Linked DNA regions of Anolis sagrei. The protein of the gene in region 2 purifies or fractionates together with the protein of the main gene of each other region. This does not show direct contact. Links are inferred from orthologs where the notes say so. Each region holds a gene or a part of one and is shown on either strand. Other genes may lie near its edges. The genes, in order: BCL7C and SS18.

Evidence for each region.
Region 1: the proteins of SS18 (region 2) and BCL7C purify together in Homo sapiens (affinity purification with mass spectrometry; 3 studies listed by BioGRID and IntAct, counting the BioPlex papers as one, with this or other methods). This does not show direct contact. The link is inferred for Anolis sagrei from reciprocal best matches to the Homo sapiens genes SS18 and BCL7C.

What each region holds. Positions count from the first base shown.
Region 1 is NC_090026.1:14,292,735-14,308,493, forward strand, and holds the start of BCL7C (B-cell CLL/lymphoma 7 protein family member C), read right to left. Parts: upstream 6,580-15,759; 5' UTR 5,825-6,579; coding exon 5,733-5,824; intron 1-5,732. UniProt on the Homo sapiens protein: May play an anti-apoptotic role.
Region 2 is NC_090024.1:58,264,939-58,281,141, reverse strand, and holds the start of SS18 (protein SSXT), read right to left. Parts: upstream 7,897-16,203; 5' UTR 7,758-7,896; coding exon 7,689-7,757; intron 2,757-7,688; coding exon 2,680-2,756; intron 552-2,679; coding exon 467-551; intron 1-466. UniProt on the Homo sapiens protein: Appears to function synergistically with RBM14 as a transcriptional coactivator. Isoform 1 and isoform 2 function in nuclear receptor coactivation. Isoform 1 and isoform 2 function in general transcriptional coactivation.

The DNA.
Region 1 (15,759 bases), on a different chromosome or scaffold from region 2:
ATACAGCGCCAACCTTAAGAAATGGGTCCACAAAGTGGAGTCCACGACATGTGAGTGTTGAGAAGAGCAAACCACAGGCCACCTATTACAATGCAATCTGAGTCCTACCACATGCACAATGCGGGACCTTCTTACAGCACCAGAGGCACTCCAAGTGGTCAGCTACTGGTCGAAGGACATTTAGTATAATGTCAAGTTTTTAACTTCGTGTTTTTTAAATACATTACAATGGTACCCTCAATTTGCTTCTGACACGATAAATCAATAAATAATACAACGCTGGAAATTTGGGGATGAATTTGTTGAGGAGGGAAATAATTCTTATTAGAGGGGAAATGCCCTCACTTTGGTTCGAGCATGGACTATTTATTTTATTTATTTACTTCATTTATATACCGCTCTTCTCAGCCCTCAGGCGACTCAGAGCGGTTAACAACCAAATCAACAGTACAAAACAGATCATTAGTCAATTAAAACAGCAATATCAATTAATTAACATCAAAACATCAATACAACAATAAACAAAATAACAATCCATCATGTCTCATGACTGAATCAGCATCTACTATCATTGTCCATTAATCCATATTCCAATAGTCAATCAATTGCACTGCTTAGTTGAAAGCCTGTTTGAAGAGCCATGTCTTCACTCTCTTCCGGAATGCCAGATAGGAGGAGGCCGATCTGATGTCTGTAGGAAGGGCGTTCCACAGCCGAGGGGCCACTACTGAGAAGGCCCTGTCTCTCATCCCCACCAGGCATGCTTGTGAGGCCGGCGGGACCGAGAGCAGGGCCTCCCCAGAAGATCTTAACGTCCTAACTGGTTCATAGGAAGAGATGCGTTCGGACAGATAGGTCGGGCCAGAACCGTTTGGGGCTTTAAAGGCTAAAGCCAGCACTTTGAATTGTGCCCGGTAGCAAATTGGCAGCCAGTGGAGCTGGTGCAACAGAGGAGTTGCATGCTCCCTGAGTGCCGCTCCTGTTAGTAACCTGGCTGCCGATCGTTGGACCATTTGAAGCTTCCGAGCAGTCTTCAGAGGCAACCCCACGTAGAGAGCGTTGCAGTAGTCTATACGAGATGTAACTAGAGCATGGACTACCATAGCCAAGTCAGACTTCCCAAGGTATGGGCGCAGCTGGCGCACAAGACTACAACTCGGGAAAAGGATTTGAATCCCTATTTGGCCATGAAAACACACTCGCTGACCTTGATAGATTTGCTTTAGGGCCACCATAAACTGGAAATGACTTGTAGGCACACAACAATGACAAAACATACATACACACCATTTCCAAAGTTTGCTCTTTGTTCATCCCTATCTAAAAGCTTTTGGGTACTCAAGATTCCTTCCGACCTGCTGGTAATTCCACCATATACCAATAAGACTCTCAATGCCTGGACATCAAGGAATTGTTATTCCTCCTCTTTGAACCTCAAGCCCTGTTGTTGAGCAAAGCGCTCAATCCGGCTCATGCAAAAGGAGATGTCCTTTGGCCTATCAGAAACCCAGACTGTTTGGGGCCATTGGGATTATGGCCAGCTCTTTGAAATGAGCCCAGAAACAAACAGAAACCAGTACAGCTACTTTAATAATGAAGTTGTATGTTTGGAGCATGGATCTTCAAAGATCACTTTTCCTCTTATCATGCTTAAGTGAGCCCAACAGGGTGGGGTAGAGGAGCGTGGCTTCTGCCTACTCCGACTGTATGAATGGAGCAGGGTATTTATTGGATTTTATTTATGCTTTTCTCCTGGCACGGAACTCAAGGCACCTTACAAGGTAAGCATAAAGGAACCAAGAGGTATCGTCAAGCTTTCTTGTTGTTTTCAGAAAGGTAGAGCTATTTGATGCAAGCGACAGAAACTGTTTGGATGGAGTTCATCCATTTCGTACCCTCCAATTGTCCTGGTTGGGCAGGAAGTGTCCCATTTAACCCTCTGCCCTCCCACTTTTTCAGATGCTTGTAACATGTCCCAGTTTCTCCTTCCGACTCCCGCTTTCCCTCTTCTGCAAATGAGTTCAAAGTGTAGAAGTAGTTTGGACTCAATTTGCTCAGCAAGAATAAGAAATCTCCTGGATTGTGTGTTCTTCCTCATTCATAACCTTTGCATTTCTGACCATATTCTGATGTTGGTTGACCACATATGTCCTGGGTTATTTTTCCTATGGAAATGTGGAAGTTATGCCATTTTTAACTATGATGTACATTAAAAGCACTTTGTGGCTTGAGAAGAGGAATGTAGAATTTCCCACTATTTCCCATTGTTGTTGTTGTTATTTTGAAGACAATCCGGAAATCTGGTAGATAGATAGATAGATAGATAGATAGATAGATAGATAGATAGATCGATAGATAGATAGATAGATCGATAGATCGAGGTAAATATAGGGCATTAAGTCCAGTCGTGTCCGACTGTGGGGTGTGATGCTCATCTCCATTTCAAAGCTGAAGAGCTGCCGTAGACACCTCCAAGGTCATGTGGCCGGCATGACTGCACGGAGCACTGCTACCTTCCCACCGGAGTGGTACCTATTGATCTACTCACATTTGCATGTTTTTGAACTGCTAGGTTGGCAGAAGCTGGTGCTGACACCGAAAGCTTATGCTGCTCCCCTGATTTGAACCTGCGACCTTTTGGTCAACAAGCTCAGCAGCGCAACGGTTTAACCCACTGTGCCACTGGGCCTCCCCCCCCCCCCATATATATAGATACACACACACACACACACTTTCCTCTCTCTCTCTCTCTCTCTCTCTCTCTCTATATATATATATATATATAGCTACTGTTATGGTCTTAATTGATGTGTTAATGCATTTAAATGTTTTAACGTTTTTATGATCTTGTTGGCATTGAATTGTTGCCTTGTGAACTGCCTTGAGTCGCCTGCGGGCTGAGGGGTGGTATACAAATGTAGCAAATTAAATAAATACATAAATAAATAAATAAATATACTCTTTCCTAGCTGGAAAATCTGCAGAAGGTCTTAAGATGAATATTAACAGGCCATTTCCCCCCTCTACTTTTCTTCTAACTTGAATGGCAAAACCAATACAAAAGGCCACTTGGGGGACAGTCCCTATATTGCCATAATAACTCCGGTTCTTTTGCGGTCTCTTAACTAATTCAGAGCATTAGTCTCCTCCCATCCAATCCACTGCACATGTATCAGCTGGGTCATGTTTGGGTGGGCAGAAAGTGCAACTGTGGCACTGCAAGCGCCCGTTTTATTGCATGTAAAATGAACCTTTCCGGAAAAGTAGACAAGGCAATCCCATTCCATCCTATCAAGGACTTTTTGGTGGACAAGATGAGAAATATTGCCCAAACAGATTGGCATACAACTATACTAAAACAGAAACAACCCCAACCTTTGAGTTTCATTTAATTAGCACAGTGGCTCTCAACCTTCCTAATAACACTTACACAACTGAATGGGTTTAGACTGGAAACCCCTTGGGATTTCTTCCAACTCAATGATTCTATGATTCTGTACATATGGAATCTATAGGTTTTGTTAATTCCTTCCTCTGAAATACAGCTCATATTTGTTGATGCTCTCCCATCCAAATACTAGCCAGAACTGACCCTGCTAGGCTTTCGATAGATGGAATCTGGTGCTTTTAGGGCAGTGGTTCTCAACCGTCCTAATGCCGCGACCCCTTAATATAGTTCCTCATGTTGTGGTGCCCCCCAACCATAAAATTATTTTTATTGCTACTTCGTAACTATAATTTTGCTACTGTTATGAATCGTAATGTAAATCTCTGATATGCAGAATGTATTCATTCACTGGACGAAATTTGGCACAAATACCCAATACGGCCAAATTTGAATTCTGCTGGGGTTGGGGGAGGGGGATGATTTTGTCATTTGGGAGTTGTAGTTGCTGGGATATATAGTTCACCTACACTCTGAACTCTACCAACGATGGAATTGAACCAACCTGGCACACAGAACTCCCACGACCAAGAGAAAATCCTGGAAGGGTTCAGTGAGCATTGGCCTTGAGCTTTGGAGCTGTAGTTCACCTACATCCAGAGAGCACTGCAGACTCAAACAATGATTGATCTGGACCAAACTTGGCTTGGATACTCAATATGCCCAAATGTGAATACTGGTGGAGTTTGGGGAATTGACATTTGGGAGTTGTAGTTGCTGGGATTTATAGTTCACCTACAATCAAAGAGCATTCTGAACTCCATCAACAATAGAACTGGGCCTAACATCCCACATAGAAATCCATGACCTACAGAAAATTGGTTGCGAGGTGACCCCTCAGACACCCCTTTGCGACCCCCCCAGGAGTCCTGACCCCCAGGTTGAGAAACACTGAATTAGAGGATAGTGAGGTATAAATAAATATTATACTAACAACAATAACGACCACCTGCACAAACTGCATACACCGAAGAACTCACAACCCATCTAAAAACGGGTATTTACCTCTCCTTAGAGAAAGAATAATGTGGTTGCATCAGATATGTTGCACCACTGCAGTTTAGTCATAGTCGTTTAATACAAAGCTTGCAAGTTGCTCTTTTTTTGGACTATAGTTCCTAGAACTCCTTCCCAATCAGGCAGCATGCATGTTTTCCCTGTTGGCTGGCATAATGACAGTTCTAGGAGGTATAATTTTAAGAGTAACTTTTCTAAACTGTAACCAGTTCCTTAGGGGGGGAAATACAAATTAAATTTGGATCCAGCCCACTCTAGAATGCAGTTTAACTGCACTGAACTGCATTATATGAGTCTACGCTAACCATACAAAGCAGGCATGGGTAAACTTCAGCCCTCCAGGTGTTTTGGACTTCAACTCCGGCTGTTAGGAATTGTGGGAGTTGAAGTCCAAAACACCTGGAAGGCCAAAGTTTGCCCATACCTGATATAATGTAATTTCATACTGCATTACATGGCAGTGTAGATAGGGGCATGGCAAACAATAATAAAGACACATTAAATTAATCCTGTGCCCCACACCTTGGAAGCTTGGTTTGGAGGTCCAACAATGTACCCACAACACAGAAATAATATAAGGTTGCCAGGTCCCTGTGAAGTCCCAATAAAACACTTACTGCAGTGATCTGATGACTGACCAAAAATAGATAGGTTTGCCTACGTTAACCACATTTGTATTGTCAAAGGCTTTCATGGCAGGAATCACTGGGTTGTTGTAATTTTTTTCGAGCTGTATGGCTATGTTCTAGAAGCATTGTCTCCTGACGTTTTGCCTGCATCTGTGGCAGGCATTATGTTCATCAAGTGCTCTGAAGCACCCTGGACCTTCCACAGATATATAAACCCCATTTTCCTAGCTTCCAACAGACCTCACAACCTCTGAGGATGCCTGCCACAGATGCAGGCGAAACGGCAGGAGAGAATGCTTCTAGAACATAGCCATACAGCCCGAAAAACTTAAGACAACCCATTTAACTACAGGGTTGTTGTAGGTTTTTCTGGGCTATATGGCCATGGTTGAGAGGCATTCTCTCCTGACGTTTCGCCTGCATCTATGACAAGCATCCTCAGAGGTAGTGAGGCAAGCATCCTCAGAGGTATCCTCACTACCTCTGAGGATGCTCGCCATAGATGCAGGCATATAGCCCGAAAAAACCTGCAACAAACCAATGATTCTGGCCATGAAAGCCTTCGACAATACATTTAACTACATTTCTGGCCAAAGTTGGACCACTGTCAACAAATACTATAATCAAGCCTTGGGCCTCACCATCTCCGGACATGTTCGATGGCTGCCATCACTTTCTTGATGTCATCTTTCGCCCGGCTCCGCGTCTCTGCTCGAACCGCCCGTCCCGACATCGGGGTCCAACTTTTGGGGTTGTGTTGATGTCAGAGGTGGATGTGGGGTAGATAATAAGAATCTTGGCTTCCAAGCTGGATCGCAACCTTTGGCTTAAGCTTGCCCGTTCCCTTTATCCCATTTCACTCTTTCTTTACTCTTTCTTCTTTTTCTTTTGGTCCAACTTTTGGAGTGTGATGGTATTCCAGCTGGATTCGGAGAAGATGACAAGACTCTGTATTTATTTACTTGGCAATCTTGTGTTGATGCTTGTCCATTCCCTTTATCCCATCTCACACTTCCCTTGCTGTTTCTCTTTTCTTTCTATCTATCTTTTTCTTTCTTTCTACCTGTTCCTCTCCCTCCTCTCTACCTGTTTTTGCTCACTGCAGGAATCACAGTGCTGGAAAGCATCTGCGTCACTCGGTCCTCCATCTATCTCGCCACAGCTTCTCCATCAAGCGGTCCTCCTCTGTCAATGATGTGTCAACAATTTCTCCTTTTCTCTCCCCCCTCCTTTTCTCTCTTTCTCTCTTCTTCTTCTTTTTTATTCAAGCCTTCTCCTGCACATCTCTCTTCCTCTTGAGCTTCTGCCGGTCTGGACTTCCTCCTCTTTTGTCTTCTTTTCCTGTCCAGCCTTTGCACACACACACACACACACAAAAAGGGGAAGACAAAAAAAAGAGAGAACGGAAAAAAGGCAGTTCACCATCGGAAGAAAATAATATAGTTCTTTCTGTGGTTTTTTTCTGTCTCTTTCCAATAGAGATTTGTAACTAAAGGAGCGCCATCTGCTGACTAGGAGAAGCCAGAAAAGTCTCCTGACTTGACTCTTTTTAGGATTGCATCCTGCAGGTGGAGATGCAGATAAGAAAGAGAAAAAAGAAGAAACAAATAACACATTTGCAGATACACATCTGGTGACTCAACACCATTCCCTTGTACTCTAAGCGACAGTGCTATAGGAGATCTTTAGGGCTGCAGGTTTTAGGAAGAGACCGTACAGTGAGGTTTTGAAAAGATGTCTATCATTTGATTACAGGTTGAGCATCCCTTGTCCGAAATGCTTGGGAACAGATGAGTCCTGCATTTTGGATTTTGGCATTCTTGCAGTTACATAATGAGATAGCTTAGGGATGGGACCCAAGTCTCAACGTAGAACTCATTTATGTTTCATAGAGACTTTATATGCATCACCCAAAGGTCTATACATATGACTTTTCATAATCTATATAAATAAAAATGTATTGTCGAAGGCTTTCACGGCCAGAATCACTGCGTTGTTGTAGGTTTTTTTGGGCTATATGGCCATGTTCTAGAGCAGTGGTTCTCAACCTTCCTAATGCCGCGACCCCTTAATACAGTCCCTCATGTTGTGGTGACCCCCAACCAGGCCCGTAGCCAGGATTTCGTTTTGGGGGGGGGGGCTAAAAAAATTTAAGGGGGAGTTTTGGGGGGGCTGAGTTTCGGGGGGGGGCTGAGTCTGAGTGAAAGAGGGTCTAGCCTAGCAAACCTTTTGTAATGTTGCCCCAATACCCCCATGCATATGGGATATATTGAGTATGGTGATCAGATCATGATATGAATAAACATAAGTTTAAATAATGCACCAGTAAGGCCTTTTCGCGAACCACCATGAGAATTTCGGGGGGGGGGGCTGAAGCCCCTCAAGCCCCCCCCCCCCGGCTACATGCCTGCCCCCAACCATAATATTGTTTTCATTGCTACTTCATAACAGTCATAAATCATAATGTAAATATCTGATATGCAGGATGCATTTTCATTCCCTGTACCAAACACCCAATACACCCAAATGTGAATGCTAGTGGGGTTGGGGGAGGATTGATTTTGTAATTTGGGAGTTGTAGTTGCTGGGATTTATGGTTCACTTATAATCAAAGAGCATTCTGAACTCCATCAGTGATGGATTTGAACCAAACTTGGTTCCCCTGACAAATGGAAAACACTGGAAGGGTTTGATGGGCATTGACCTTGAGTTTGGAAGTTGTAGTTCACCTATATCCAGAGAGCACTGTGGACTCATGCAATGGTAGATCTGGACCAAACTTGGCATGAATACTCAATATGCCCAAATGTGATCACTAGTTGAGTCTGGGGAAAATAGATCTTGACATTTGGGAGTTGTAGTTGCTGGGATTTACAGTTCATTACAATCAAAGAACATTCTGAACTCCACCAACGATAGAATTGGCTCAAACTTCCCACATTGAATCCCCATGACCATCAGAAAATACTGTGTTTTCTTATGGTCTTTGGCGACCCCTCTGACACCCCCTCACGACCCCCTCAGGGGTCCCAACCCCCAGGTTGAGAAACACTGTTCTAGAGGCATTATCTCCTGACGTTTCGCCTGCATCTATGGCAAATATCAACAACACCCCTCACTACCTCTGAGGATGCTTGCCATAGATGCAGGCGAAACGTGAGGAGAGAATGCCTCTAGAACATGGCCATACAGCCTGAAAAAGCATACAACAACCCAAAAATGTAATGTTCGTTTGTGGGATTAACATAACTCCAAAACCACTGAATGAATTGACACCAAATTTGGACACAATACGCCTCTCAGGCTGACAAGTGACCATCACTCATAAAACACTGAAAAACACAGCAGAAGAGACTTTAAAAGCCCAAAACAAAACAAAAATATATACATTATAATGCATGTACAAAGCCACATATATAAATGCAAAGACACATATATTCACAAATATATACACACACAAAACACATATACACAGACTGGGCCACAGCAACGCGTGGCAGGGGACAGCTAGTCTATATAAATAAAAATGTAATGTTTGTTTGTGGGGTTAACATAAATCAAAAACCACTGGACGAATTGACACCAAATTTGAACACAAGACACCTTTGTAATTTGAGAGTTGTAGTTGCTGGGATTTACAGTTCACCTATAATCAAAGAGCATTCTGAACCTCACCAATGGAACTGAACCAAACCTGGCACTCTGGACTCAAACAATAATGGATCTTGACCAAACTTGACATGAATACTCAATATACCCAAATGTGAACACTGGTGAAGTTTGTGAAAAACAGAGCATGGCATTTGGGAGCTGTAGTAGCTGGGATTTATAGTTCACCTACAATCAAAGAGCATTCTGAACTCCACCAACTATAGAATTGTACCAAACTTCCCACACAGAACCCCCATGACCACACTGTATTTTCTGGTGGTCTTTGGCAACCCTTCTGGCACCCCCCTGTGATCCCCTCCCCCAGTGGTCCCAACCCCCAGGTTGAGAAATGCTGCCTTAAGGCCATCCAGCCCAACTGCCTTCACCAGGGCAAGAAAACATAATCAAAGCCTGACAAAGAGCCATCCAGCCATAGATATAGATAGATATATATGATTCACACACACATATGACAGATATAATATAGATTTGAAAGGGACTCCTAATGAAGGACAATAATATGTTCCATGTTCCAGAGTAGGCAAACCAGACAATCTCTACATCAATATTGACCAAAAAAACAAGAAGTAATGTTTATCCACAAGCATAAAGAAATTACATATATTAGAAGCCAACACTTTCTCATTACTTTATTTTCCAGTTCACCGGGCTAGGCCACAGCAACACGTGGCAGGGGATGGCTAGTGTTGGGCATAAAACATTAAGAACGGTTTTGGAATATCTGCAATTTCAAAATTACAGATGAACGATACTCAAACTGTATATACATTTATTTACGGTCAATGACCAGCACCAATAAATGTACATACATCAGAATAAGAACATATACATTTAGGCATTAAGAAACAATGTCAAAAACAAAGTTAGAACCCAGTATTGAATATGAAAGTTAAAACGGTATTAAACACGTATATGCCAAAATGACAATGGTAAAAACTGGAGTAAATATTAAAACCTTCTAAGAGTGTGACAGCATCTTGTGACGACAAGCTATTGCTGCTGCACAAAAGCTAGCAACTTTAGCAGTAATTTGGGGTGTTGGTCAGCCAAAAGATAATCAACATAAAACTTTACATATCTCCCTGATAAACTTTCTAAAATAGGATTTATAAAATGTTAACGAAGGTCTCGGTAAAAAGAGCAGTACAACAAAATGTGATCCATAGTTTCTGTTGCCTCAGCCTCAGAGGGACATAGGCATTCATCGTATGGTACTTTGTTATCTCTTTCCTCCAGTACAGCAGAAGGGAGTACATTGAATTTAGCCAAAGAGAACACCTTCCTATGTTTTGGGATAATTAGGTTGCCTAAGTACTCTGTAGGAAGAAGCGCCCTTCCATTGTCCTAGAATCATGGAGTTAGAAGATATCATCTAGGAGTCCCTGGTGATGCAATGGGTTAATGGGTTGTGCCAACAGGACTGAAGACTGACAGGTCAGAGGTTCGAATCTGGGAAGAGTGCGGATGAGCTCCCTCTGTCAGCTCCAGCTCCCCATGCAGGGACATGAGAGAAGCTTCCCACAAGGATGGGAAAACATCAAAACATCCAGCCGTACCCTGGGCAAGGTCTTTGCAGACAGTCAATTCTCTCACACCAGAAGTGACTTGAAGTTTCTCAAGTTGTTTCTGACACACACACAAAAATCTTCTAGTTCAACCCTGCCAGTATAAGAAAGGAAAGCAGGGCAACAACAACAACAACAGGCTGCCCCCCACCCTCCAAACCTTCCACGCACAATTAAAGACCTGGCTTTGACCATGTTTAGACTCTCTTGTAATATATATATGAGGACCTTTAGATTCTTTATTAGCACTTTATACTTCTGAGATTGAATACTGTTGTTTATCTACAGCAATTGCTGTATTTTATTATTTTTACCAGGGGTATTGTGAATTTATGATGTTGCATTCATTGTATGTTTTGTTTTGCACTTGTATTTTGCATTTCATTCCTTGAATATTTTGTGAGCCGCCCAAGTCCTTCTGGCAAACTCTATTTGAACAAATCTTGCCAAGAAACCTCCGTGAGAAGTTTGCCTTAAGGTTCCCGTAAGATGGAAATGACTTGAAGGCACACAATAGTAACAAAGAATGACATCAAGGTCACAAAACATCTGCCAGCCTCGATAAGTGTTTTGCCACACAGAAAAGCCTTATCAAATCCTTGCTAGGTCATGAAAACCTAACCCTAAGTTGGAAACAACTTGACAGCACATAACTAAAGGGAATTGTTCCAACTTGTTGAATGATTTCTGCAATCTCACATCTTTACATCCTCCTTATGCAACAAAAATAACTCTGCTTCGAAAGAGCACAGATAATGAACAGAAACTATTATGTTTTTTCAAACTTTATGTTAGGCCAGCCTTCAGTGGAAAAAAAGTGAAAATAATATCAGAGACTGCAAAGTCTAGTTTCAAACAGGATGTGATGCAGAAGCTCTTATAAAAACATTTTACTTGGAAATAAGTCCCATTGATCTCAGTGGAACCTGCCTCTGAGTGGACAGAGATGAAGTGTTCCATTATTAAACACTAGCCGTCCCCTGCCACGCATTGCTGTGGCCCATATGGGGGTTCTGTGTGGGAGGTTTGGCCCAATCCTATCATTGGTGGGGTTCAAAATGCTCTGTGATTGTGGGTGAACTATAAATCCCAGCAACTACAACTCCCAAATGTCAAGATTTTCCCCCCCCCCAAAGTCCACCAGTGTTCACATTTGGGCATATGAGGTATTCGTGTAGAGATTGGTCCAGCTCCATCATTGTTTGAGTGCACAGTGATCTCTGGATGTAGGTGAACTACAACTACAACTCCAAAACCAAAGGGCACTACCCACCAAACCCTTCCAGTATTTTCTGTTGGTCATGGGAGAACTGTGTGCCAAGTTTAGTTCAATTCCATCGTTGGTGGAGTTCAGAATGCTCTTTGATTGTAGGTGAAGTATAAATCCCAGCAACTACAACTCCCAAATGACAAAATCAATTTTTTTAATGAAGGACATACATTGCGTTGTTAGGTGTCTTGTGTCCAAATTTGGTGTCAATTCGTCCAGTGGTTTTTGAGTTATGTTAATCCCACAAACGAACATTTCATTTTTATTTATATAGATTTGCTCCTATGCAGACCCCAACAAAGCCTTTCTGGCATTTCTGAAGTATGTGTATGAATACGCAGTTACTCAAGGTGCATCCACACAGCTGAATTAATGCAGTTTGACACCACTTTAACTGCCTTGGCTCAATGCTATAGAATTCTGGGAGTTATAGTTTAGAGAAGCGCCAATACTGTTTGGCAGAGAAAGCTAGAGACCTTGTAAAACTCCAATTTTTAGAATTCCATAACACTGAGCCATGGCAGTTAAAGTAGCATCAAACTTTATTCATTCAACAATGTAAGCTGGCATTTCTCAACATGGGGGCCAGGACCAATGGTGGGGGTCATGAGGGGGTGTCAGAGGGGTCGCCAAAGACCATCAGAAAACCCAGTATTTTCTGTTGGTTGTGGGGGTTCTGTGTGGGAAGTTTGGCCCAGTTCTATCATTGGTGGGGTTCAGAATGCTTTCTGATTGTAGTTCAACTATAAATCCCAGCAACTACAACTCCCAAATGTCAATGCCTATTTTCCCCAAAATCCACCAGTGTTCATATTTGACCATATTGAGAATTTGGGCATACTAAGAATTTGTGCCAAGTTTGGTCCAGATCTATCATTGTTTGAGTCCACAGTGCTCTACCTGGATATAGGTAAACTACAACTCCAAAACTCAAGGTAAATGCCCACCAAACCCTTCCAGTGCTTTCCGTTGATCATGGGAGTCCTGTGTGCCAAGTTTGGTTCAATCCCATTGCTAGTGGAGTTCAGAATGCTCTTTGATTGTAGGTTAACTATAAATACTAACAACTACAACTCCCAAATGACAAGATCAATCCACCTCTTAAGGAATCCTGGGTCCATATGACTCTATGGTCAACTTCCGCTGGAAGCTGGCTACAGAATTGCATTGGAAGATCTACAGATTCCTAGAGATGTGTTCTTTCCAGAAATATAACTGGCAGCATAACTGGCAGACATTCCTCCAGCATAACTGGCAGACATTGGCCATTGATCTACATTGGAGGACCTAGAGATTCTTAGAGAGAAAGGACAACTCTTCTAGGTTGTTGTGAATTTTCCAAGCTGTATGGCCATGTTCCAGAAGCATTCTCTCCTGATATTTTGCCTGCATCTATGGCAGGCATCCTCAGAGATTGTGAGGCCTGATGGAAATTAGGAATTTGGGGTTTATATATCTGTGGAATGTCCAGGGTGGGAGAAAGAACGTCCTAGTTTCCAACAGACCTCACAACCTCTGAGGATGCCTGCCATAGATATAGGCGAAATGTCAGAAGGGAATGCTTCTGGAACATGGCCATACAGCCCGGAAAACTCACAACAACCCAGTGATTCCGGCCATGAAAGCCTTCGACAATACAGACAACTATTCTGTTTTTTATATATTTTTAGTTGGTGGGAGCTTTTCTCACCCTGCTTCTCCAAGATGAGCTGTATCAGTTGAATTCAGACACATTTGAAATACTTTGTTCAGTGGAGAGAGAGAACATGCGCTCTGCCCAAGCTCAGCAATATTTATCATCTAAGAGAGCAGGGACGTGACTATGAGACCACTTTGGAGCACTTTTCCAGTAACAAGAACTTTGTAATCTATAATGTTGTTTATTTGATTTCTGTATAATTAAGGGTTTGTTTGGTTCCCAGCATCTCACAACACCTTCCCACACACCCCCTTTTTTACAAAGCCGGTGAGACAGGCCCGCGTAATCTTCGAAAGCAGCTTTCCGGGGATTTGAGCTGAGCAGCTCAGCCCATGGTCTCCGTTCACAGGGAGGATGACTCAAAGGCGTTAGTTGGGGTCACCATCAGCACGAGCTTTTTGTGGGGTGTCCAGCAGGGAAAAGGCCTCGGTGAGTCAGTATTTGAGAGGCCCGCGTGACTTTGGGGCAGGAAGGATTTGGGATTACAGGAAGACCATAGGCTCAGGCGGAGGGGCATTCATGCAAATGCTGGGTCAGTTGGGTATCAAGTGAGTAATGGCATTTGGGGATATTTTTGCCTTTTGTTTTCATTATCCCAGGCAGACTCATCTCACGAGGTTAGGTACATCAGCCGTGACAGTTCACTAAGCAAAGCTTGAGAGGGTTCCACTTCAGAACACATCTCCCCAAATCCACAGTCAGCATGGCTAACGGGAACTGAAGCCCAAAATGTAACATCCCAGTCCCAGTATACAAGCGCTGATTTGAAAGACATACCCATTAAAGCTGTGTTTCTCAACCTGTGGGTCAGGACCTCTTGGGGTGTCAGAGGGAGTCACCAAAGACCATCAGATAACACAGTATTTTCTGTTGGTCATGGGGGTTCTGTGTGGGAAGTTTGGCCCAATTCTATTATTGGTGGAGTTCAGAATGCTCTTTGGTTGTAGGTGAACTATAAATCCCAGCAACTACAATTCACAAAATGTCAAGTCTATTTTCCCCAAACTTCATCACGGTTCACATTTGGGTGTATTGAGTATTCATGCCAAGTTTGGTCTAGATTCATTATTGTTTGCATCCACAGTGCTCTCTGGATGTAGGTGAACTACAACTCCAAAGCTCAGTGCCCACCAAAGCCTTCCAGTGCTTTCTGATGGTCATGAGAGTTCTGTGTGCCAAGTTTGGTTCAATTCCATCACAGAATGCTCTTTGATTGTAGGTTAATCATAAATCCCAGGAACTACAACTCCCAAATGACAAAACCAATTCCCCCAACCCCACCAGTATTCCGATTTGGGTGTATCGGGTATTTGTGCCAAATTTGGTCCAGTGAATGAAAATACATCCTGAATATCAGATATTTACATTACGATTCATAATAGTAGCAAAATGACAGCTATGAAGTAGTTAGGTTGGAGGTCACCACAACATGAGGAACTGAATTAAGGGGTTGAGAAGATTGAGAAACAGTGCATTAAGGGGCCTAAGGGCCCTTCCACACAGCCCTATATCCCAGAATATCAAAGCAGAAAATCCCACAATATCTACTTTGAACTGGGTTGTCTGAGTCCACACTCAGGTAATGTGGGATTTTCTGCCTTGAAATTCTGGGATATAGGGCAGTGTGGAAAGGCCGTTGGCCTGTGTTTGCTGGGCAGTATTACTTTTGAGTGATGGATTTCTTTCTGCTGCTTAACTGCCAAACTACTGTTGCCACAAGAGGGAGAGGAAGTGGTGGTAGCAAGCTCTCCGTCATACTCAAATTTGAACTTTACAAACACCCGAGTTGAACTTATTACCGCCTGAACTTTGTAACCAAACCCCTTGTGCACATGTCTGCTTTAGTTAATTTTTTTTGTTTCCTCCTTAAAACCAGTTCATATTATTTTGACACACAAGGAGGAAAATCCCCTTGGTACTCCTTCTGGCAGTGAGAGTGCATCAGTTACAAAGCAAACCATTCACCATCTACTATACTTTCAGGACCACAAAAACTCTTGCCTAATGGTAGGGCAGGCCTTACTCTTAAAGCATAGGCATATCTACCTTATGAGGGGTCCTGAAAACACAACACTTATTCACCATATCTGGCATATAAGACTACTATTTAACCCAAGAAAATCTTCTCAAAAGTCAGGGGTCTTATATGTGGGAGTCGTCTTATACGCAGGAGTAGTCGTATACGCTGGGAGTTGTCTTATACAGCAGGCGCTGAAACTTTCAATCTGGATTGGAGAATCTGTGGTTGCCGCATATGGTGGGGGAGCTCAAAAATGGCAGTGGCCGCGTCCCTACCGTATGCAGCGACTGTATGAAAACATTAAGGGCGACGCTGTACAAGTGTCACGTTGCTAGGGCTCTACCTTGTTTAGGTAGAGATGAATCAAACTTCCAGTTTCAACAAACAGTTTAATTAAAACAGCACTTACTTGCTGGCTGTTTTTATAGTCCAAAATATAAAA
Region 2 (16,203 bases):
GAAAGGTATCTTAGCATATGATGTAATAGTTTTCACCAGCATAATGTTTATTTTCCTTGGCAGGAATGAAAGTGATAATTAAATAATTCCAGTAACTGCATAACATTTACATTCTAATTAAGCAGTTTTGGAAATCAACCTAGAAACAGATATTTTAAGGAGTGACTGATAAATGTATTTTCTTTTCTAAAAGAAGAGATAATGCATAAAAAGGTATGCTAGAATTACATAGATGATCTAATCTCTAAAAATCTCAAAATTACTAGGGTATTTCTAATGAGATCAATCTAGCAATGATTTTTTTAAATATACCTTGTATAGGGAAATATGAGGCTAAGGATGTGCAATATGAGACAAAATCAGTCGGAAGCATAAATAGCATGTTCGTGTAGTAAACACAGTACTTTCATTAACTACATCTTAATGTAAGAAAGAGAATACCACATAATTGTCACAGAATACTTACTGGTGGCAGTATAGATTGCATATTTTGATTGGAGTCTGCTATCGTAGCTAAGTAGACCAAGTTTGTATGCAACAACTGCTGATATCTATTTTTTTTAAAAAGAGGGAAAAAAAGAATATATTCTAAATTCAAATTTGTTGCATATGTTAATAGTTTTGCTGCTGCTGTTATTAATTCATTTATATCCCAACTTTTTCCTGTACTGGAACACACAATTAAAGCACTTTAAAAATGCATATATGCCATTTAATTGTACATAGAAATAAAAAAAATACAAAAACATCAAGATCAACCAAACAATTTTGAAAAAAAAAAGCTGAACAGAAAGGTTTTCACTTGTTGATAGACAGCAAGGAGCAAGTCATTCCAATCTCCCTTGTGAGGGAATTTCGAAGTCTAGGAGCAGCCACTGAGAAGGGTCTCTCTTCAGTTCGCACCAAAGAAGATAGATCTGAAAGAAGATCCTTTCCCAATGATCTTAAAAGCCTAGCTCAACACATATTCAAAGATATGGTCCTTCAGACAGCTTAGACCAGAACCATATAAGGCTTTTTAGGTCATAAGCAATTATTTGAATTGTGCCTAGATATGATGAAGAGTTCCATGCTCCCAGTCTCAGAGTCAAAAATTCCAGCACCATGGGCTGGATGTAGTATTGTGGCCTGACTGTTTTACAATAAAGTATATTAAAATATTTGGTTAGCAGTTCTTTGTTATATGTCAGCCAAAACCAGGATGGCAAGGTGTGATTTGTCACTTCCTTTGGATATTTATAGACATTTGCAGGTTGAATTAATTTCTCTCATTCTGGGTTTTTCCTTAGATATTTATAAGGGATACTATGAGATGTATGTATTTATGAGATGTATGGATTTATAAGGGATACTATGAGATTTATAAGGGATGAGAAATGTAGGGACATCTAAAAGTAAGGTTTGCATGCCATCCTTCTTCAAGTAAACCTGATGTGTTCTATGCTTTCTAAACTTAATCTAATACAAGTTTGCTTCACTCAAATTTTACAGAAATGTCAATGAATGATGCCAAAGAACTTGATGTACACGGTACAGGGATATAATCTTGTATGAATGAGTTTGGTTTTGCTTGTTAAACAATTAACCATAGTCTCTGCAAAAAAAAATCCAGTCACCACTGTCCAGTAATATAAATTAATTATGTAATAATAACCCATTATATAAACTGTGCATCAGGTTGCCCAGTTTGGAAGCAGCAGCTGACGCAGAATCCAACAGACCACTGATAACAAGGGAACACAATATTTGTTTATGCATTGGCAACCATTTATTTTAGGAACTGCTTCAGGGTGTTGGTTTTCACATTTAAAACCCCGAATAGGATGTGTTTATCTAACACCCACCTTTTTACATTTCTTTAGAAATAATAATAATAACCCTTTATTTGTACCCCACTACCATCTCCCCAAGGGACTCGGTGCGGCTTACATGAGGCCGAGCCCAAACACAACAATACAAGCAATAATAACAACAATACAAGCAATTAAAAAACATAGACAATAAAATACATAACATTATCAATAAGACAACACATAATTAAAAACAGTAGGAAGGCCAAATGTAGAGTTAAAATTGGAAATAATGCTGGGACATGGACAAATGTGATACTGGTGTTTGTGGAAGGGCATACGAGCAGACTTAAAGAAATGTAAAGTGCTTTGGAGGACAAAGTACTATGGGATCATTATTCCAGGAAGGCACGCTGGAACAGCCATGTCTTCAAGCTCCTCCTGAAGACTGCCAGAGTTGGAGCCTGTCTGATGTCTTTAGGGAGTGAGTTCCAGAGTCGAGAGGCCACCACCCCTCGACTAATAACAATAAAAGTAATAATTTCCCTATGAGCAGATTGTTTTTGCAGAGTTTATAGAGATGTAGCAATGCTGCAAGAGGGAGGAACTTGCTTTTCTTTTAACTTGCCAATTTGGTACTTCACCAGCATGCTGGCTTATGCTTACCTGTATTTCGCAAAACAGATATAAGGGCAAGTCAGTTGCCCAGGAGGAGATGTTACTTGTGCCAACGGAATAACTGACAGGAATGCTGTGTAACCTGATGTTAGGTTGGTTTCTCCATAAAGAATCCACAGGCTAGCTTGCACAACTTATTTCATGCTACTGATAGACCTGCTCCACTTGCAAACCACAGTTCCCATGCACTACATACAGATTGTCAACTTACTGAGAGCATTCAGTGGCTTTGCCTTTGTTCTGGTAGTCCATTATACATTGAATAAGATGGTTGTTTTCATCCAACATCTGAAAACAAAACAGATGCTAAGAATAAGACTAATCTACTTCAACATACATACAATTCTATTCAGTTTCTTTAAATATTCTAACTTAAGATAGAATACTGTGTACATTCAGATTGAACTGGAAAGAAATTTCTAGGTATTCTTCTAAACTTCCTGAAACTAACTTCACTTTAGGTCTTAAGACATTTAACATTTACTGGTATTAAAATACATTTACCAAAAGCATTCTGTCATTTTGGAATTATCACCTATCAAAGTAACAGATTTCTTCATTCTAGATACAAGTAGAGTTGTACTTTATTAGCATTTTACTTTCAGTTGAAACCATACTCTCTCTCAGCCCATCTTGGAGAATCTTGGAGAATCTTATTGCCATTTTCTTTTGTTTACAAGATGAATTCAAAAGTTCATCGCCTACATGATTTAAGCAACATGAAATGGGCAAAAGGGATAATCCCCTCATTTGCTCTTCTCTCTTATGTACTTCCTGCCTCTTCTTGCAGCCCTCCAGAAAGTGGAGGGATTAGCCTATGTAATATGGAACCATATGTAAGCATATCATTCCCCTACAAAATTCAGAATGCTAGAACTTGAGGTTCTAAACTACACAAGGAACTAATACTGCTAGAGACTTCTCTATACGGGGTCTTACTGTATCAGAATTAGATATTAAAACTTTGAAAAGAAAATAAAGTATTACTTGAATAGGTGATAATAACTTTAAATATGGAAGCACTAATGCAATAAATGCAGCTTTTAGATTTCAAAACAGTTTTGAGTAAGAGACTTTGTATCGGCAACATGTACCAACAAGAGTTTTACATTCTCAGTACATTAATTACCATTGTCATGAACTAAGAAACTCCAGAAGCTAAAACACCTACACATTTCCATTACTAATCTTTCCAGTTTCACATGTAATTGCAAGCTATGCATTACATGGTTGCAGTCCTATTAGCCTTCTACCCACTACTATCAAACTTATGTTTCAGATGCACATTTATTTCATGTTGCAAATCCAGTGTTCAAGTATATATATTTATTTAATCACAGCTACATGTTTTAAGAGTTACAATAGTATGTTCACTGTTCTGTTCACCTTCTTACTCCCTCCCACAATGTGAAAGAATGTCTATTCTCACCTTCCGTGAACCCATAAAACTTAGATTGTTACTTTTCCAGACAGTTTAGCTTATAATACCTTTCCAAACTAGTGTTCCTTCGCTCCTTTGCGGTTCACTTACTGCAGACTTGCTATTTCGCGGTTTTCTCTGCATGGCCCTCCTCCTCCTCCTCGCCTCCCCTCTCCCCTTGGCAGCTCAGCAGCTCCCAAGTGAGGGAGAAGTGGAGGGAAAGCAAAGGAAGAAAGAAGGCAAGGAGGGAGGGAGGGAAGGTGAGGAGGAGGAGGGCTGCACAGACAAAAGTGTCCCTCTTGCCAGGGGAGGGTGGCATGGGTGCCCGAGGGAGGTAGGGTGGGGAAAGAGGAGAGGAAAGAGAAGGTGAAGTGAGGGGGGGGGAGTGTCCCTATTTCACGGAACACCTGCGATAAGTGAGGGAACACTGTATTCCATTTATAATAGCATTACACTGAACTAAAGCATATAGTCCTGAGGCAATGCCCTGCTCCCTCTGATCCCAGCAGACTCTAAAGCGCCGAACACTGAAGCAGAGAATGGGACCTAAGATGAGACCTGTGACTGCCACTATCTTACAACTAATACTGTAACCCCAAATATAGGTTGAGCATCTCTTATTCCAAATCCTGAAACCCAAAACATATGGGTGGCTGAGATAGTGTCACCTTTGCTTTTTGAAGCGTCAGTGAACATTATTTCATGCATGAAATAATTAATATTGTATAAAGTTAACTTCAGGCTATGTGCATAAAATGTATATGAAACATAAATTAAATTTTCTATGTGGATCTCCAAGTTATCACATTATATATGTATATACAAATGCAGATAATTCAAAATCTAAAAATACCCCAAATTCAAAATACTTGTGGTCCCATGCATTTTGGATAAGAGATACAGAACCTGTATATGCATTGCCTAATATCTACCCCTTGGAAGGGAAATCCACTCCTGAGTTATCATGGAGAAAAGGTGTCTCCACTGAAGTTTTATCTACCATCCTTGTTTCCACAACAACTTACATTTTTTCAAAACCCAATTTTCACAGGGACAGAAAGTGAGATGAAATCTTTTGAACAGGGGCACAGACAGCAAAACAAACGCCACAGAGCTGTTGATGCTTCCCCAAACCCTTCTCCAAAAGCGAAAAGATAAATATTTTTGGCTGTAGTTACACTTAAAAAATGTACCTTTTCTGACTTACAAACAAGTTCAACTTAAGAACAATCCTACAGAACCTTTCTTGTTTGTAACTTGGGGACTGTCTGTTTTTAACTTTGAATATGTTTTAATGGATTTTAACTGTGAATGTTTTAATGCTGTTTATATTTAATTCTGTTTTAATGTTTGCATATTTTAAATTGTTTGCTAATACTTTTATGTTAAGCCTCTTTGAGTTTCCTTTGGGAAATATAAAGCAGGGTATAAATAAATATTGCAATAATAATAATAATAATCTAAATTGAAAAGATAAAAAACAAAATCTAAAACACATTTGGTTCCAAACATTTCAGGTAAGAGACAGCCAAGCTGTACCTGTTTCTGCAAATGCACAATGAGATAGCTTGGAGATGGGGCTCAAGTTTCAACATGAAAATAATTCAGGTTTTTCACACACCTGATTATTATATACATTGCTGGAAGGTAATTTTTAATTGTGTATGAAACGAAGTATACATATAATGAACCATCTGAGAGCAAATACTGTAGAATGATTGCAGCTTGGCACCACTTTCACTAGCATGGCTCAATGCTAGAGAATCCTAGGAGTTGTAGTTTGGTGACTCTGTGGCAGAGAAGGCCATGGGCCTTGTAAGGAATTGTGCGAGTTAAAGTTCAAAACACCTAGAGGGCCGTAGTTGGCCCATGCCTGGTGTAAGTAAAGGTTTCCCCTTGACATTTAGGGCCCTTCCACATAGCCCTATATCCTAGAACAGGGGTCCTCAAACTTCTTAAACAAAGGGCCAGGTGACAGTCCCTCAAACTGTTGGCGGGCCGGATTATAATTTGAAAAAAGCATGAATGAATTGCTAGGGACACTGGCCATATCTTATTTGTAGTGCAAAAAAACCCACTTAAAAACAATACAATAATTAAAATGAAGAGCAATTTTAACAAATGTAAACTTATTCAAAAGTATTTCAATGGGAAGTGTGGGCCTGCTTTTGGCTGATGGGATAGGATTGTCATTGTTGTGTGCTTTCAAGTTATTTCAGACTTAGGTTGACCCTGAATGAGGGGCAGAGAAATGACCTTGAAGGGCTGTATCCGGCCCCCGAGCCTTAGCTTGAGGACCTCTGTCCTAGAACATTAAGGCAGGAAAACCCACAATATCTGCTTTGAACTAGGGTATGTGAGTCCACACTGTCATATATCCCAGTTCAAAGCAGATGTGGGATTTTATTCAGCTGTGTGAAAGGTGGTGGGGGTCATACTCATCTCCATTTCTAAGCTGCATGGGGTGCTGTTACCTTCCCACGGAAGTGGTACCTACTGATCTACTCACATTTGCATGCTAGGTTGGCAGAAGTTGGGGTTAACAGCGGGAGCTCACCCCGCTCCCCGGATTTGAATCACCGACCTTTCGGTCAGCAAGTTCAGCACAGTGGTTTAACCCACTGCACCACAGGGGGCTCCATGCCTGGTACAGATGCCACTAATTAAGACAATTTGGGAATATTAGGACCAGGCATGGAGCCCCCTGTGGTGCAGTGGGTTAAACCACTGAGCTGCTGAACTTGCTGACCGAAAGGTCGGTGATTCAAATCCAGAGAGCGGGGTGAGCCATTTTCAGAATTGGGGATAAGGAATGATCAATGTGGTCCTTTCCACACAGCTGTATAAAATCCCACGTTATCTGCTTTGAACTGAATTATATGGCAGTGCGGACTCAAGATAGCCTAGATCAGGGGTCCACAAACTTTTTAAACAGAGGGCCAGGTTACAGTTCCTCAAACATGAATGAATTCCTATGCATTCCACATATCTTATTTGTAGTGCAAAAATCACTTAAAAACAATACAATAATTAAAATGAAGAACAATTTAAACAAATAGAAACTTATTAGTATCTCAATGGGAAGTGTGGGCCTGGTTTTGGCTCAAGAGATAGGATTGTTGTCGTTGTTGTTGTGTGCTTTCAAGTCATTTCAGACTTAGGTTGACCCTTAGCAAGGGCCGGATAAATGACCTTGGAGAGCCGCATCCGGCCCCCGGGCCTTAGTTTGAGGACCCCTGGCCTAGATTTAAAAAAAAAGATATTGTGGGTTATCTGTCTTGATATTTTGGGGCCCCTTCCACACAGATGAATAAAAACCCACATGATCGGCTTTGAACTGGGACATAGAGCAGTGTGGACTCTGATAATCCAGATCAAGGCAGAGATTGTGGATTATGTGTCTTGATATTCTGGGTGATAGGACTGTGTGGAAGGGCCCTCAGTGGAAGGAACAAAGAAGGACTCCATTCACATAGCAAGAAGGGTGTATTCCTCTCGCCATCATTCCCCTCAGGGCCTCGGCTACCTTCCTGGGTTTCGGGAAGGCCACTGTCCCATCTGCACTGACCATTTAGCGCAGTTTGAAGAAAGTGATGACACAGGAAACCCAGGACCCACTTTGAGGCCCAGGTGGTGGTGGTGGTGACAGAAGCCAGAGAGCAAAGAGGCGTTTAAAGGGCGAGCTGTGGGGGGAGCGTGTTTCCTGGCTCCAGCTGCGAGCTGGTCTAAGCGGCCAGTGCGGAGGGAGGCCTTTCCCGGACCCGGGTTGCCCCGCTTCCCGCCCAGGCCCTTCCGCCCACCTTCTGGATCGCAGCCGGCGTGATCTCGCCCTTCCCCCTCTGCCTGGGGGCGGCGAAGGCCACCGACATCGCGAAGGACCCCCACGCCGCCTTCTTCCCCGGCTGCTCCTCGCCTTCGCCTTCCTTTCTCCGCGCCCCTCACACGACGGACGCCTCTCTGAGGAGCAGAGCGAGTCGGAGGAGGAAGCGGCTGCCCGTTGGGACGAACCATTGCACGGCGCGGGGGGAGGCAAGCCTTGAACCCGCCTCACTCAGTGGACACAGCCACTCACCCCGCCTCGCGTTTCATTTAACTGTGTCCCAAAACGTCACAGGCGTTTTGTTTCTGGTGGCTGGGAGTGTGGTTTCGAGGGCGCTCAGGCAGTCGTCCTCCCCCATTTCTGCGTGATAATGGTACGTTCCTACCCGACCTCCTTCGAGAGCTGAAAGCGACAACAAATGGTCCTGCCCAGAAAGAAGAGGAGGAGGAGGGAAGAGGAGGGAGCGCATGGTGTCCTCCCACTCTTTCTCCTCCTCCTTTTTGCCCAGAGTGGGCCTCTTTTCCTGTCACGAGCCGCGAAAGGGAAACTCCAAACCCGCCTCTCTCTCCATCTGTCCATCTATCTATCTAAATAAATAAAAAGTAATGTTTGTTTGTGGGATTAACAGAACTCAAAAACCATTGGACCAATTGACACCAAATTTGGACAGCATACACCTAACCACCCAATGTATGTCCAGCATCCACCTAACAACCCAAATGTACCTGATGAACAGCATATTATTTGAGAACACAGAAATGCTGGACCACTCTCACAACCACCATGTCAGACTACACAGAGAAGCTATTGAAATCCACAAGCATGTGGACAATTTCAAGGAAGGAAGAAACCATGAAAATGGACAAAATCTGGCTACCAGTATTTTAAAAACCTCTAAAATTACAACAACAAAACAACAGAAGGGAAACAACCAGGCACATCTTAACACCTCTCAACAAAAGATTCCCCCAGGCTCAGCCAGGCCTACAAGTGCTAATGAAGGTGGTCAGCTGAAACATTCACACCTAGCTCCAGCAGAGAAGAGCACTTTGCCCCACCCCAGTCATTCCACAGATATATAAACCCATTTTCCTAATTCCAACAGACCTCACTACCTCTGAGGTTGCTTGCCATAGATGCAGGCGAAACGTCAGGAGAAAATGCCTCTAGAACATGGCCATATAGCCCGAAAAAACTCACAAGAACCTAATGATTCCAGCCATGAAAGCCTTTGACAATACAAAATAATGTTTGTTTGTGGGATTAACAGAACTCAAAAACTTGTGGGCCAATTGACACCAAATTTGGACAGCACACACCTAACAACCCAATGTATGTCCTTCACTCAACATTTTTGATTTTGTCATTTGGGAGTTGTAGTTCCTGGGATTTATAGTTCACCTACAATCAAAGAGCATTCTGAACTCCACCAATGATGGAATTGAACCGAACGTGGCATACAGGACTCCCACGGCCCACAGAAAACACTAGAAGGGTTTGGTGGGCATTGACCCTAAGTTTTGGAGTTATTATTATTAACTTTATTTATACCCCGCAAAATCTCCCGAAGGACTCGATGCGGCTTACAAAGGCCAAGGCCACCAAGAAACAACAGCATACAAATACAACAGTAAAACTCATAAGCAAATAATAAAACATCAAGCAAAACAATAAAACACTAAAAACAATGACACCATGACATATTTAAAACCTAAAGGCTGGGCCAAATGTAATGGACAAAATTTAAAAAGTGCTAGACTTGACAGGTGATATGTAGAGGTTTTTTGGAAGTAGGTGCAATGTGCAGACATTCCTAAATCACTAACAAAGTGCATTTGGGACATGATGCCAGGAGTTTCCTATTCTGGAAAGGCACACTGGAACAGCCAGGTCTTCAGGCTCTTCCTAAAGACTGCCAACGTTGTGGCTTGTCTGATGTCCTTGGAGAGAGAGTTCCAGAGTCGGAGGGCCACCGCAGAGAAGGCCCTGTCCCTCATCCCCACCAAACATGCTTGCGACGCAGGTGGGATCGTGAGAAGGGCCTCTCCAAATGATTGAAGGGAACATGTGGGTTCATATATGGAGATGCAGTCACGCAGGTAGGTGGGTCCCACTCTGTTTAGGGCTTTGTAGGTGAGCACCTGCACCTTGAATTGGGACCGGAAGATGAACGGCAGCCAATGGAGCTCCTTAAACAGGAGGGTTGACTTCTCTCTGTAAGGAGCGCCGGCTAACAACCTGGCTGCCGACCATTGGACCAGTTGGAATTTCCGAGCCATTTTCAAGGGCAGCCCCACGTAGAGTTGTAGTTCATCTACATCCAGAGAGCACTGTGGACTCAAACAATGATGGATCTGGACCAAATTTGGCACGAATATTTCATATGCCCAAATATGAACACGGATGGACTTTGAAGGAAAGAGGCCTTGACATTTGGGAGTTGTAGTTGCTGAGATTTATAGTTCACCTACAATCAAAGAGCATTCTAAACCCTACCGATGACAGAATTGGGGCAAAATTCACACACAGAACCCCATGACCAACAGAAAATACTTACGGCCATCCAGTCCAACTCCCTTCACCTGGGCAAGAAAATGTAATCAAAGCCCTCTTGACAAAGAGCCATCCAGCCATTGGTATAGATAGATAGATATGATTCGCGCACAGAGAGAGAGAGAGAGAGAGAGAGAGTATGCTAGATTTGAAAGGGACCCCTATGGAAGGGCAATGATATGTTGCATGTTCCAGAGTAGGCAAACCAGACGATCTCGACATCACTGATAGATGTGGAATATCCTGCCTTGATATTCTGGGATATAGGATTGTGTGAAAGGTCTGTCTGTTGCTTGTTTTAGGCCTAAAACTATCTAGCAGCTTGTGATCCCTTTATTTTATCAGTTTTAGATAAACCATTTTATGCAATGCTTTTGACACGAAATAAGAGAAATAAATTACTGCAGCTGAATGCTATGGGATCCTGGGATTTGTAGTTTGGTGAGGCAGCAGCACTCTTTGACAAAGGAGGGTAAAGACCTTGTAAAACTACAACTATCATTTCACGGTCTCTACATTCTTTTCGTGTTTTTTGCCATTTCTTTTTTTGAAAAGATGTTGAGAGCTAGTTGATTGACAAAACATTACGCCACCTTTTCTAAGAATATAGCTACATTGTAGAATTAATGTAGTTTGATACCACTTTAACTGTCAAAGCTCAATGCTATGGACTCTGTGGAGTTGTGGTTTAGTGAGGTACCAACACTCTTTGGCAGAGAACGCAAAAGACTTTGTAAAACTACAACCCAGGGTTCATAGCACTGAACCATAGCAGTTCAACTGGCGTCAAACTGCTCTTATTCTACAGTGAAGATGCACCTTAGTCCAACACTGAAAGCACTATACCCTACAGAAAGAGTTTGAAACCCTTTATGATTCAAGTTGGAATGCTCTTGTAGAATTTTGTTCAATTTCTTTTGCCCAATACAAATAACATACAAAGTGGTTCTTTGGTTGCAATAAAAAGAGGATAACAAAGATTAGGAGAGAATCAGAAATTGTTTTGCTACAAATTGTCTCAGAGGCTCTGTTTTACTTTGAATTTGTTACTGATGATATTGAAAGTGTTGCATAATGTTTTGTGCAACATCATCTGCTACTGCCTGGATTTTCATTTTGTGTGCTTTCATACATTGTTTTAATCACCTACTACAATAAAAATATTGATGACGATACTGTTAACAGTATAGCTACACTATCTGAGTCAGACCTTATTAACTCTACTTCTATGCTTTGGAGCCTAGGAAACTTATTTTTTTTAGATCAGTTCCCAGAGCTCCCCAGTCAGTGTCCACATTCACTGAGGGATTCTGGATATTGTAATTAAAATCTATTTGTATTGTCCGCGAGTTCATCTACACCAGGTATGAGCAAACTTTGGCTCTCCAGGTGTTTAGGACTTCAACTCCTACCATTCTTAACAGCCCCGGGCCCCTTCCCTTTCCCCCTTAGGCTCAGTCTACGTCTTGAGGTCAACAGATAATCAAATTACATTGAGACAGGCATGGGCAAACTTTTGCCCTTCAGGTGTTTTGGACTTCAACTCCCATCAGGAATTATGGGAGTTGAACTCCAAAATACCTGGATGACTGAAGTGTACATTCTACACTGTAAAATCAATGAAATTTGAAATCACTTTAATGACTATGGCTCAGTGCTATGGAATCATGGAAGATTTAGTTTTTTAGTCTTCTCTGCAAAAGAATACTGGTACCTCAGCAAACTACAACTCCCAGGATTCCACAGCACTGAGCCATAGCAACTAACGTGGAGTCAAACTGCATTAATTGTATAGTGTAGACTGACCCTGCATGTGTTACATTAGAATTTCATTGTGCTGAGTTTAGAAACAGAAATGGAGAGAGTTAAAGACTGTTGTATATTAACACAAATTGGACCTCAAAAGCAGCACCTCATGGAAGAAGAAGAAGAAGAAGAAGAAGAAGAAGAAGAAGAAGAAGAAGAAGAAGAAGAAAAGGTACAGTATTTGGTAAGTGACAGGGTAAACATTAGGTAACTGAAAACCTAATTTCTTCCAAATAATTTCATTGGGAGATCTGGCTTTAATCTCAGCCAATAAACTCCAATTAGATTTTCTTGCTTTTCCCCTCTTTCCTTTTCTCACAGAGGATACTGGAAGGTTTGTTTGTCATTATCATTTATTTCCTGCTTTCACAAAAGATTCTGCAAGGTTTCTCAGTCATTATTCTTTACGGTATCCTAGCATCTGAAGTACCAATTGATACACAGAATCTCGTTGGCATTACACACAATAAAACATATTAGCATCATGCGTCTGTTTTGTTTTCTTGCCCCATAACAATCTCTAGGGACTAAGCAGGAAATGAAAATTTAACATGCGTGCAACAAAACACAACCTTCCTTGTCCCTTTATGACTGATTCTTTCCACAATTGTGCAAATTGGGTGCAATATATGTAAAGATGAATCAAAACTTGCATTGAATTGGACATAGAGCGTGGCCTTAATTTGTCTGCTTGGAATTAAATCATATAGGTTGCAATTGGGCTTGTTTCTAAAGAACTATGCCTATGATAACAGACCTTGGCAATTATTGTTTGCTTGAAACGAATGGATTTCAATGACATTTTGTATTCCTGTCTTTCCCTGGATTGTTCCCATTGTCACTGGCATAATAGATAATGAGGTGTCATATCTTAGCTCATGAAAACAGCATTGTGGGGTGATGGGATGTAGCTCTTCTTATGATGCTTTTTATGGCATATAAGGGATTATCTCAACAGGGCAGGATGCCTTGAATTTACTCCATTTATTGGTTTATTTTGTCTTGCCTGGCTTTTTCTAGTTTTGACATTTATGATTTGCATTGGATATTGCATGGAATATTAAAAGAGTAGCCCTTGATATATGGGCCTCTGTGTCCCAATGTAAAAATGAACTACCAAGCAACATCCCATTTACAAAGGTAGAAGTGTCTGTGATATCTTCCAGAGAGATCTTAATGAAACAAGTGAGAGTCGCAGGGATGCTAAATTTTGATTCTACCCTGTGACATGTTCGTTGGCAAATATAAATATTTTGGCATAAAAGAAATACACATCTTCTTGAACAGTCAGCACTAATGGGAGGATGTGGCATAGCCCTAGTGACAAAATCTTTCCAAGTCCTGGCTTTATTTTTCGAAAGGGAGTCTCCTACTTGCATTCATAAATAAAAAATAATATGGCACTATCTTGTCTAACTTCCCCTTAAGATTAAAAGTCCACCAAGATTTTCTTTTGTTCTTTAAGATGGTACTCTGTATCAGCAACATTTGCATCCTTCCCTTTCTCAAAGGCATTTGTGGTTCTGTAGGTTATTTCTCCCGTATCCCTTAATAATTGCTACCAGCTTGAAAAATGTCTTACTTTGGAAGAGCACAGTGGGCTTGTGATGGCCCTAAGAGTTTTATGGCTGAAATGATGTTTGAAGGGAGCTCTCAGCCCATTTCACATTTTATACACTATCGAGGTTCTCAATCTCTAGTGCTCCAATATTTCAGAGTTTTCAGAAGTTCCAACCAGTGTGGTCAATGATCAGGGGTTTGGAGAAGTGAAGTAAAAAATACTTGGAGTACAAAACTTTGTTCATTGCCCTCCCCACCCCCATGCCTTCAATTTCAAGCTCCTTCCATAGAATCATAGAAACATAGAGTTGGAAAAGACCATAAAAGCCAGCCAGTCCAACCCCCTATTCAGGAAAAACATGGTAGGGATTTTTGGGTGGCATGATTTTAATTGATGTTTTAATTGTTTGGTTTTAATTGTAATTGATTATTTGATATATGATTGTATGGCATCAAATTGCTGCCTAGAATCATAGAATCATACAATTGGAAGAGACCTTGTGAGCCATCTAGTCCAGTCCCCTACCAAGAAGCAGAAAATCATAATCAAAGCATGGCTATCTAGCCTCTGTTTAAAAGCCTCCAAAGAAGGAGCCTCCACCACACTCAGGGGCAGAGAGTTCTACTGCTGAACAGCTCTCACAGTTAGGAAGTTCTTCCTAATGTTCAGGTGGAATCTCCTTTCTTGTAGTTTGAAGCCATTGTTCCACATCCTATTGTCCAGATCAGCAAAAAAGAAGCCTGCTCCTTCCTCCCTAAGACTTCCCCTCACATATTTATACATGGCTGAAATGTCTTATCTCAGCCTTCTCTTCTGCAGGTTAAAAATGTGCAGCTTTTTAAGCTGCTCCTCATAGGAATTGTTCTCCAGACCCTTGATCATTTTAGTCACCCTTCTCTGGACACAATCCAGCTTGTCAAGATTTCTCTTAAATTGCAGTGTTCAGAACTGGATACAGTATTCCAGGTGTGGTTTGACCAAGGCAGAGTAGAGGGGTAGCATGACTTCCCTGGATCTAGACGCTATACTCCTATTTATGCAGGCCAAAATCCCATTGGCTTTTTTAGATGCCGCATCACATTGTTTATACGGTTTTATACTGTTTATAATGTTTTATATTCTTATTATTACATTGCTGTTAATTGTATATTTATGTTTGGAGGGGGGTGCCATGGGGTGCCACTTTGTTAGCCATCCCGAGTCCCTCTGCGGAGGTTGAGAAAGGATGGGATATAAAAGCCCTAAATAAATAAATAAATTGTTGGCTCATGTTTAACTTGTCCATGAGGACTCTAAGATCTTTTTCACAGGTACTGCTGTTGATCCAGGCATCCCCCATTCTGTATCTTTGCATTTAATTTTTTTTCTGCCTAAGTGGGGTATCCTGCATTTGTCCCTGGTGAACTTCATTTTGTTAGTTTTGGTCCATCTCTAATCTGTTAAGACTGTTTTGAATTCTGCTCCTGTCTTCTGTTGTGTCAATATTGTTGTGTCAATATTGTATATTATGCTTTTATGGTTTTAAATTGTATATCGTTGATTGATTCTTATCCTTGTTGTAAACCGCGTTGAGTCGCCTGTTGGGCTGAGAAACTGCGGTATACAAGTAAAGTAAATAAATAAATAATAAATAAGTATTGGTTATCTCTCCCAATTTGGTGTCATCTGCGAACTTGATGATCATGCCTTCTAAACCTTCATCTAAGTCATTAATAAAGATGTTGAACAGAACTGGGCCCAGGACAGAACCCTGTGGCACACCTGTTGTAAGGCCTCCTGAAGTCTCCTCCAGGGTGAGAAGGATGAGGTACAAATATGGGAAATCAATCAATCAATCAATCAATCAATCAAAGCATTCCTAACATATGGTCATCCAACCTCTGTTTAAAAATTTCCTGAGGAGACAACACTACACTCCAAGGCAGCATAGTCTACTGCTGAACAGCTCTTACCATCAGGAAGTTCTCCCTAATGTTTACATGGAATATATTTTCCTGCAATTTAAATCAATTATTCTGTGTCCTTATTAATCTCCAGAGCAACAGAAAACAACCTTGCCTCCTCCTCAATGTGACATCCTTTCAAATATTTAAACATGGCTATTATGTCCCCTCTCAGTCTTCTTTTTTCCTATCCAAACATACCTCTCTCCTATCTAAATATACCTAGCTCCCTAAGCTGCTCTTCATAGGGCTTGGCTTTCCAGAGTATCTCTTACTACAAGTCCCTGATGTGCTAATGTCCTCATTCTCTCTCACTCCCCTCCTCCCCCAATACATATACACCTTGAAATGTAAGGAGTAAAAGCCAGAAGAATCTTACAGTTTCATAAAGCATTTATTTTATCAACCCTCTGCTTCTTTTTAGCTGTTTATTCCTTCACTGGCAAGGATAGCTGAGACAGATAGACCAGTACTGTTGTCTTTCCTCTGTTTCCTATTCATTCTGCTTGAGAAGTTTGATCTATCCCAATCAGGAAGTCCCCCCTCCACCAGGAAAAAAAAAACCTTTATGCATGCATGCTTGGATGCATGTGTGCCAAACAGGCCCGAAGCCAGGATTTCGTTTCGAGGAG